Callithrix jacchus: one gene and its partner. The protein of the gene in region 1 purifies or fractionates together with the protein of each later gene. This does not show direct contact. Links are inferred from orthologs where the notes say so. Each region holds a gene or a part of one and is shown on either strand. Other genes may lie near its edges. The genes, in order: CDK5RAP2 and PCNT.

Evidence for each region.
Region 2: the proteins of CDK5RAP2 (region 1) and PCNT purify together in Homo sapiens (co-immunoprecipitation; 4 studies listed by BioGRID and IntAct, with this or other methods). This does not show direct contact. The link is inferred for Callithrix jacchus from reciprocal best matches to the Homo sapiens genes CDK5RAP2 and PCNT.

Annotation. Positions count from the first base shown.
Region 1 is NC_133502.1:168,799,614-168,803,414, reverse strand, and holds part of CDK5RAP2 (CDK5 regulatory subunit-associated protein 2), read left to right. Parts: intron 1-8; coding exon 9-198; intron 199-1,230; coding exon 1,231-1,352; intron 1,353-2,460; coding exon 2,461-2,697; intron 2,698-3,801. UniProt on the Homo sapiens protein: Potential regulator of CDK5 activity via its interaction with CDK5R1. Negative regulator of centriole disengagement (licensing) which maintains centriole engagement and cohesion. Involved in regulation of mitotic spindle orientation.
Region 2 is NC_133522.1:51,907,565-51,911,855, reverse strand, and holds the start of PCNT (pericentrin), read right to left. Parts: upstream 2,883-4,291; 5' UTR 2,796-2,882; coding exon 2,742-2,795; intron 2,433-2,741; exon of another isoform or gene 1,873-2,432; intron 792-1,872; coding exon 579-791; intron 1-578. UniProt on the Homo sapiens protein: Integral component of the filamentous matrix of the centrosome involved in the initial establishment of organized microtubule arrays in both mitosis and meiosis. Plays a role, together with DISC1, in the microtubule network formation.

The DNA of each region.
Region 1 (3,801 bases):
GTTTGCAGATAAACAGAAGGAGAATGACAAATTACGAGAGTCCCTCTCCAGGAAGACCGCGAGCCTGGAGCACCTTCAGCAGGAGTATGCCAGTGTGAAGGAAGAAAATGAAAGGCTGCAGAAGGAAGGCAGCGAGAAAGAGAGACACAGCCAGGAGCTGATCCAGGAGGCCCGCCACAGCCGCCAGGAGCTGAGCAGGTAGTGGCTGTGCTTCCCTGGTGCCCTGCTGGCTGAATCACGCATCCGCGCACTGGGCTGCAGTTGTGGAATCAGGCATGCAGGCCTCTGCACTAGTGCACAGTGGCAGGCAGTAGACAGAAACATATTTCACATCTGGTGGGCCTACCACATGTGGAGAACAATCCCGTAAGGAGGAGAGGGCTTGGCAGTGGGTTGCTGTTTTTTGTCGAGGGCGAGTCAGGTAAGGCCTTTCTGAAAAGATGCTGTTTGCACAGAGAGCTGTGAATGTAGTGAGGAGGTGAGTGCTGCAGCTACCTGGGGAAGATCATTTTAGGCAGAATGGGCGCAGGCCCTGAGGCAGCGTGGCTTAGACCTGTGCCCGACAGAGCAGGGCAGTGCGTCCCGAGAGGCAAGAAGCTGGGGGACGAGATACCGAATCACATCGGGCCACAGAGCCAGTGTGAGGACGTCAGGTTTTACTCTGAGTGGCATGAGAAGCGTGGGAGATTCTGAGCAGAGAGTAACGTGGATCTGCTGTTGTTTTTAAAAGGATCGCACCAGTTGTCCTTTTGCCATTTCCCTATTTGAGTCTGTCCGTTTCCAAATTTGAGTTGTTCCTGTTGGCACGTGTGAATGCCCCACTCTTGAAGAGTTACTGTCATCACCCAGGGTGGTGCACTGAGGTAGCAAGATCATTGTCTCTGCCACCAGATAGTCCTGGGCCTAAGTCCAGCTCCCCTCCTGAGCTGTGCACCCCTGGGTAGGAGACAGCCTTTTTGAGTTTCATTTCCTCATATCTCTGAACTGAGGATCAGAGGGCACCGACCTTTTAGGGTGTCTCTGAAGATTACATGAGATCACATAGGTAAGGGGCTGGACGCAGGGGCCAATTAGAAACTGTGGCTGTCACTGGAATTCTTAACCATGCTTGTCACTTCTTGGTCCACATTCTTGTGACTGAGGGTGGAATTGGCCTACCCTGTGGGATTTGAATAAGTGATCCTAAGGTAGAATTAACTTCTCCGTCTCATCCCTGTGGGGCCTTCTCAGGGTGCAGGAGGAGGTGAAGTTGAGGCAGCAGCTGCTCTCACAGAATGACAAGCTATTGCAGTCCCTCCGAGTGGAGCTGAAGGCATATGAGAAGCTGGATGAAGAGCACCGGAGACCGAGAGGTAATGGGGGCTCTGGTCCGAGGCCCTTCTCATCTTGAGGCTACTGTGGCTTGGGCTGTAAGCCCACCCAGCAGCTGGTTGTAGGCACAGGTGGGCAGAGCTCAGCACTCTCCATTCTGACCTTGTGGGTAGAGTAGATGGGTGCTAAAGCTGGCGCTTTGGCCCACTCTTCTTCTGAAGGAACAGCAGGAAACATGGAAGGACTGAGGCTTAGCAACCAGGCCAGCTGAGGTCCGGGTTCCCACTCCCTTGTTCTGGGCTGTGTGACCCTCAGCAGGCCACTTCACCCTTTGAGCCCATACCTGCCTCTATAAAACATGTTTCTCAGCACCTGCTGTGTGGAGAGTTACGTTAAAAATTGAATGAGACCATTTATTAAAAGCATCCTAGCATGGTACCTGACATAGTAGGCACTCAGGAAATGACTTTTATTACAGTCATCTTGCTATGTGTTACTTTTTGCCCTTTTATTCAGCAAACATTTATGGTCACCTCTCATGTGCTGGGCATTGCTCTGGGGATGCTTGTTGGCTTCAGTGCTCTCTATATCCTGAGAGAGATACCAGATCAGAGTACCTCAACTATAAAGTCTAATGTTTCAGAATCAATTTTGAGGTGTGGTGAGGTTTTTTTTTTTTTTTTTTTAAAAACTAATTTTCCAGATGGTTTCTCTCTATTGAAAGTTTATCTAGAAAAGGGTCATCTCACAGCTTTTATTTTTCTCCTCAACTTGCTTTTCTTATTCTTGCCATTGTGTCTTTTTAATATACTGTGGCTCTTAAAATCATCCCCTTTTATTCTATAATTCTAGCCCAAATAGATTTTATTACTACTAGACATAATTTCGGGGTTTGGTGTGCAATTTGCTAGGCTTTTATGGCCAGAAGTGAAAATTAATTTCCAGCTCTTATTTAGCCTGTGGAATAGCAGCAATTAAGTCTGCCAATATTTTTGTTTCTAAAGTCAAGTTGTTATTTTAAATTGTACCTAGTTCTTAGGAAGGGGGAGGGTGAGGGTGGTGGCGGGTGTAAAACACGATTGAGTTCCTTCGATGGCTGACCCTGTGGTTGTGGAAGATGTCAGGGCTTCCCTTTGCACATGTCCACAGAGTCGTCGGGAGAAGGCTGGAAGGGGCAGGATCCTTTCACAGACCTGCACAGCCTCCTGATGGAGATCCAGGCTCTGCGGTTGCAACTGGAAAGGAGCATCCAAACCAACAGCACACTGCAGAGCAGGCTCGAGGAACAGCTGGCGAGGGGGGCGGAGAAGGCACAGGAAGGAGCCCTCACTCTGGCTGCCCAAGCCCTGTCCATCCCTGAGCTGCCCCTTCAGCCCAACAAACACGGTACTGCACCTGCCTCTCCCCACTTCCTAAGCATGCAGTTCTGAGCGTCTGTGTGTGACATGTGAACTTCTGAATGATGCCTTTGCCCCACAGAGGTGTCTTTCCATTGATAGCTGACACACTGTAGCCTAGGAGCCAGGGGACCTGACTGCTAATTAATTAGCAGTCACCTTTGGCAAAGTGGTGTGGTCTGTCTGAGGCATCTTCATTCTCAGGGAAGTGGAGTTTGGACTTCCAGACAGCCTCAGTGCCTCTGGTGTTGCTCCCTCCTAGTTAGTCCTGCTCATGTCACTCTGATGCTGAAATTTCTTTTAGTTTTCTGACTGCCTTTAAAAGGGAGCCTAAACATCTTAATCTGGCTTTCAGTGTCTTTCAGGATCTGAAAAGCATCCTGATAGGTTTAAAAAGTAGATCTATTTTGCATTTGCTTGTGGGTTAATTGCCTAGCCCTGGAGAGGCTGTAGTGGGTACCAGAAAGAGGGCCAGACACCTCTGCCACCCACCCACCACAGCGTGTGGAGCAAACCAGTAAATGGCAGGCGCAGAGCAGTCAGGCAGCCTATCCTCTGCTCTAGAGATGAAAAACGAAGGCCCAGAGAGCGGATGGTGCTTACCGAAAGTGGCACAGCAAGTAGGTGGCAGAGCTGACGCTAGAAACCATTTCTAGCTTTGAGTCCAGGGCTGTTCCTGAACCCCACCAGACCCTCTAGAGTCTTGGGTATCCTGGGATTGTCGTCCTGACACCAATAGCATCAATGTGTGTATCCCGTGGAATGAGGAATGCCAACATGCTTATAAGCAAGTATTGTATTAAAATTTGGACTGACTTTTACTTGGATACCTCTAGTTAAAAAAGTAAAAATAAATCTTAAGGAGCACCTAGTCAGTCTGCCTTAGAACTTGTAGTGAAACTAATCAGTTCATTGATTTCTCATTGATAAGGATCTTAAAATTTAATCAAAAAGATGATATAATATGAAAAAAGTGAACAGAGAAAAAAGTTCATGATTCTGCACATTCATCATTTTTTAACATTTATTAAATATGAGCATGAATTTATATTTTTCAAATTGGTTTTGTGTCATTCTGTGTCCTTTCTTTTTG
Region 2 (4,291 bases), on another chromosome or scaffold:
ATTATCTGGGCGTGGTGGCTTGTGCCTGTAGTCCCAGCTATTCAGGAGGCTGAGGCAGTAGAATTGCTTGAACCCAGTAAGTGGAGGTTGCAGTGAGCTGAGATCACGCCACTGTACTCAAGCCTGGCGCCTGGTGACAGAGTAAGACTGTCTCAAAAAGAGTAAAAATATAAAAAATTATTTATTTATTTATTTTGAGACAGAGTTTCACTCTGTCACCCAGGCTGGAATGCACTGGCATGATCTCGGCTCACTGCAACCTCCCCCTTCTGAGTTCAAGCAATTCTCCTGCCTCAGCCTCCCGAGTAGCTGGGATTACAGGCGTGCACCATCACGTACAGCTAATTTTTGTATTTTGAGTAGAGACGGGGTTTCTCCACGTGGCCAGGCTGGTCTCCAACGCCTGACCTCAGGTGATCCGCCCGTGAGCCACCACACCCAGCCCTCACTTTTTATAACTAAAACAACACACTCTTTCCTCACATTTGAAAGGGAAAAATAGACCAAAGACCACCTTTAGTAAACCACACTAGAAATCACTAAGCAAAATGTTTAAAGACAACACTGCGCAAATCTACCTGAGCTGCAAAGGCCCCTCCTGCCCCATCAGGGGTGTGGTCACATGATGGGCTTTTGTAAATGTCCCCTCCTCCACGGGCTTCGCTGTGGTCCTTGGCTACCGGACTCTCCTCCTGGACAGGCGCAGCGACAGCCGAGCCCTTCCTCTTCGCCGTCTTTTTCTCCGAATGCGCACCGTCGCCTTTGGTTTTTCTCTGTCGGAAGTGAGCAAGCTGCGCAAAAAGGTAGATAAATAGTAAAGGCAGAGGTAAATGAGAAAAAAATAACAGAACCACAAAGTCAACAGACTGGTGGGGACCATGAGCCCGAGGGCTGACCCAGTCTACTGTGCCACAGCTGGCCAACAGATCGCTCTCCACAAACACTGCCTTCGGCAAGATCTATATCCAAGAGGACTGCTAATTACGCCTGACAGAGGAAAGAAAACTATACGGCTAATTGCCGAACAGCTTTCCTAGCCCTTGACAGTTTACAGAAAAATTGAACTTTAAAAAAATACGTCTACATAAAAAACTGATAGCTTAATCGAGGCATATTTAAGTTTTAAAATAATAAAACCTAAATCTCTCCCTTCTTGCCCCAATTTCCCCCCAACTGAAGAAATATATAGCCCAGCCAAAACTTCCTAGCCATAGATTCTGAGACAAGGTACAGAAATAGCAAAAAATTAATTAAGCCAGGTCAATCTCACATCTTCCTTTACGGAATCAGATGTTCTATTTTTCATGGCACAGCTCACCAAAGCACCAGGGACCTCCAGAGCATCGCCCATCAGAAGGCACAGTCTAGCTCTGCTCAGTCCTCAAAGCCGAGGGTTTAAGACTATGTGCGCGCCTCATCTCCCACTAACGTCTTACTCAAGAGGGAGGGGGTCCCACGTCAGCCTTTCACGGAGAGGCATCTGTTCCCTCAAATGATAACTGTGGCCACGTTTGTGTAATAAACGGAACAAACGTTTGTGTAAGTAACACAAGTACACAAGCTCCTGGACCCAGGAAGATTACACAAGGCAATTTGGACAAAAAATGGTCTCTCAAGGAAATACTTTATTCCAACCCAATCCCATCTCGTTTATTTTCATGCCCTCCTCCACCACACCTAACCATGAGGGGATAGCACAGACCTGGTCTGCAGCCGGGGTCGCCCTACAGGCGGCGTTTTTTCCCTCCCTCCCCACCCTCAACGCTCCCCAGGAGGCTCCGGGCTCCCCTTTCCCTCCTGCCCGCCTCAAACGCCGGGAGCCCTGCTCCTCCGCAGCACCCTGGCCCGAGCATCCGGGGAAGCCGGGCGCACCTCGCAGGGAGGCCAGCCTCGTCCCGGCAGCTCCCGAGGTTCCGCCTCGCGCTCTCGGGACCCCAGTTCCAGTGCCCCCGAATCAAGGGCTCTGCGCGCTTTATTCCCCACAAGAAACCCAGGACGGTGGCCATTAAACCGAGCGCTTTAACAGGGTGAAACCCGAGGCGGGATAAAGACGGGAACGCGTCCCTCGGAGAAGCCCGGCGCCAGCACCGCTGGCTTCCCGGCAGCACCCGGACGGGCAGGACGCGCGCCCAACGGCGCCAGGAGCGCCGCGGGGACCTTTCACACAGGAGGAACTGCGACGCCGCGGGAAACGCGCATGGGAAAGCGTCTCCGACGGACGGAGCGGAAGCGCGCCGTAAGGAGGCGCTGAGACTACCCGCGCCGCGTCCCCGGCCGCGGAGGAAACTGGCCCGAGACAGCACAGCCCCCAGAATACCGGCCGCCCACCCCAAGCCATCCGGGACCGAAGGGCGCAGGGGTCACTAGAGGATCCAGCCTGCGGCCCAGCACCCGCCACACCTCCTCCTGGTAGCCACACACCCCCGCCCCTCCCGGCGTACTCCGCGCCCGGCCTGTCGCCGACGCAGGCTCAGCCCCGCCCCGGCCTGCCCGAGAGGCGCCGCGCGTTCCAGCCGCTGATTGGCTGTGGCCGCGGAGGGGGCGGGCCCTAGCGGAGAGCGGCGGATTCAAGATGGCGGCGGCCAGGAGGCGGCTTCCAGCGGAGCCGGCGGGAAAAGCGAGACCTCGACGGCAGATTCCGCCGGGCCGCGTCCGCTCGTGACAAGGGGCGGTGGTGGACATCGGAGCCGCCCTTAGGACTTCACGCCGGAGCAGCAAGAGAAGAAGCCCCTGATGTTTACCTTCGCCCTCCCGGCCTCCACCTTTCTGCGCCGCTGCTCTTGCTGAGCTTCCATCTCCCTCAGACTCCACGCGGGCCGCCTGGTGGTGGCGGGGCTGACACCGAGCCGCCTTCGCTCTATTTACACTCCCTCCCCCGCACCGGGGCGCGCCCTCCCCCGCGACAAGTGTCACGCAGCCGTGGCCCCGCCCCCACCGCGCGCCGCCAATCAGGGGGCCGCGTTCCGAGTCTCGCGCACGCGCCCTCAGGGCAGTGCTGCCTGGGCGGAGCTCCGCCCTACTCGCTCGTCGGCCACAGATTGGTGCGCTCAGGACCCGCCTCCTTCGGCAGGGCCAGTAAGCGGAGCGCAGAGGCCTGGTGCCCGCTGTGATTGGCCGATTTTAAAAGCCGGCCGAGCCGCTATTTGCGTTGCTGGTCTCGCGTGGACGGGGACACTCGGTGGCCCGCGGGCCGGACCGCGGGCAGCAGCCACTGGGATAGGGCCAGGCCATTTTCCTCAGCTAAGGAGTTCGTTGTTGGCTGTGGGCCGCCGCGGGAGTCGAGCCGACTCCGGAGGAGACTGCTGAGGTGACCGAAGCCCGGACACAGTCCAGGGTCCGCACGGCCTGTGACCTGCGGCGGAGACGCCGGGGTGGGCGTTTTCTCAGCAGCCCGCGCGCGTGGACGGGACTCGGGGAAACTAACTGGAGCGGAGTGGCGGAGAACCATGACGGGGTGGGTGACCTCGCCGGGCCCTGTGGTTTCCTGTGCCGTGTTCTAAAGCGAATCGCCTTCTTCCCTGTGTCCAAGGCTGGTTTCTGGGTTTCTCTCTAGTCGCGCCTCCCTTGCAAACCCTAGGCGGTGGGGTCCGCGTGCTCGCGCTGCGGGCGGCCACGGCCCTTCCCCGAGCGTGCTGGACCCGAGCGCAGCGTGCAGCCTCCGCAGCGACTGGTGATTCTCAGCAACTGCGACTTAAATGCCCTTCGGGAAGCCCTGGAAACTCCCCCCTCCTGCCTCGGGCCACCGCCTTCTGCGTGGTGAGCAAGGCGTCCAGCAGCCTCCCGGTTCCCACACTCGGAACTGGATGGCTTGAGCCAGCTGGGCACGGAAGCGGGAGCCAGGCAGGCAGCGCAGCCGAGAGGGCAGGGGCTGTGCCTGCAGGGTCGCGGTTCCCACACTCGGAACTGGATGGCTTGAGCCAGCTGGGCACGGAAGCGGGAGCCAGGCAGGCAGCGCAGCCGAGAGGGCAGGGGCTGTGCCTGCAGGGTCGCGGTTCCCTGACTCGGACCTGGATGGCTTGAGCCAGCTGGGCACGGAAGCCGGAGCCAGGCAGGCAGCGCAGCCGAGAGGGCAGGGGCTGTGCCTGCAGGGTCGCGGTTCCCTGACTCGGACCTGGATGGCTTGAGCCAGCTGGGCACGGAAGCGGGAGCCAGGCAGGCAGCGCAGCCGAGAGGGCAGGGGCTGTGCCTGCAGGGTCGCGGTTCCCTGACTCGGACCTGGATGGCTTGAGCCAGCTGGGCACGGAAGCGGGAGCCAGGCAGGCAGCGCAGCCGAGAGGGCAGGGGCTGTGCC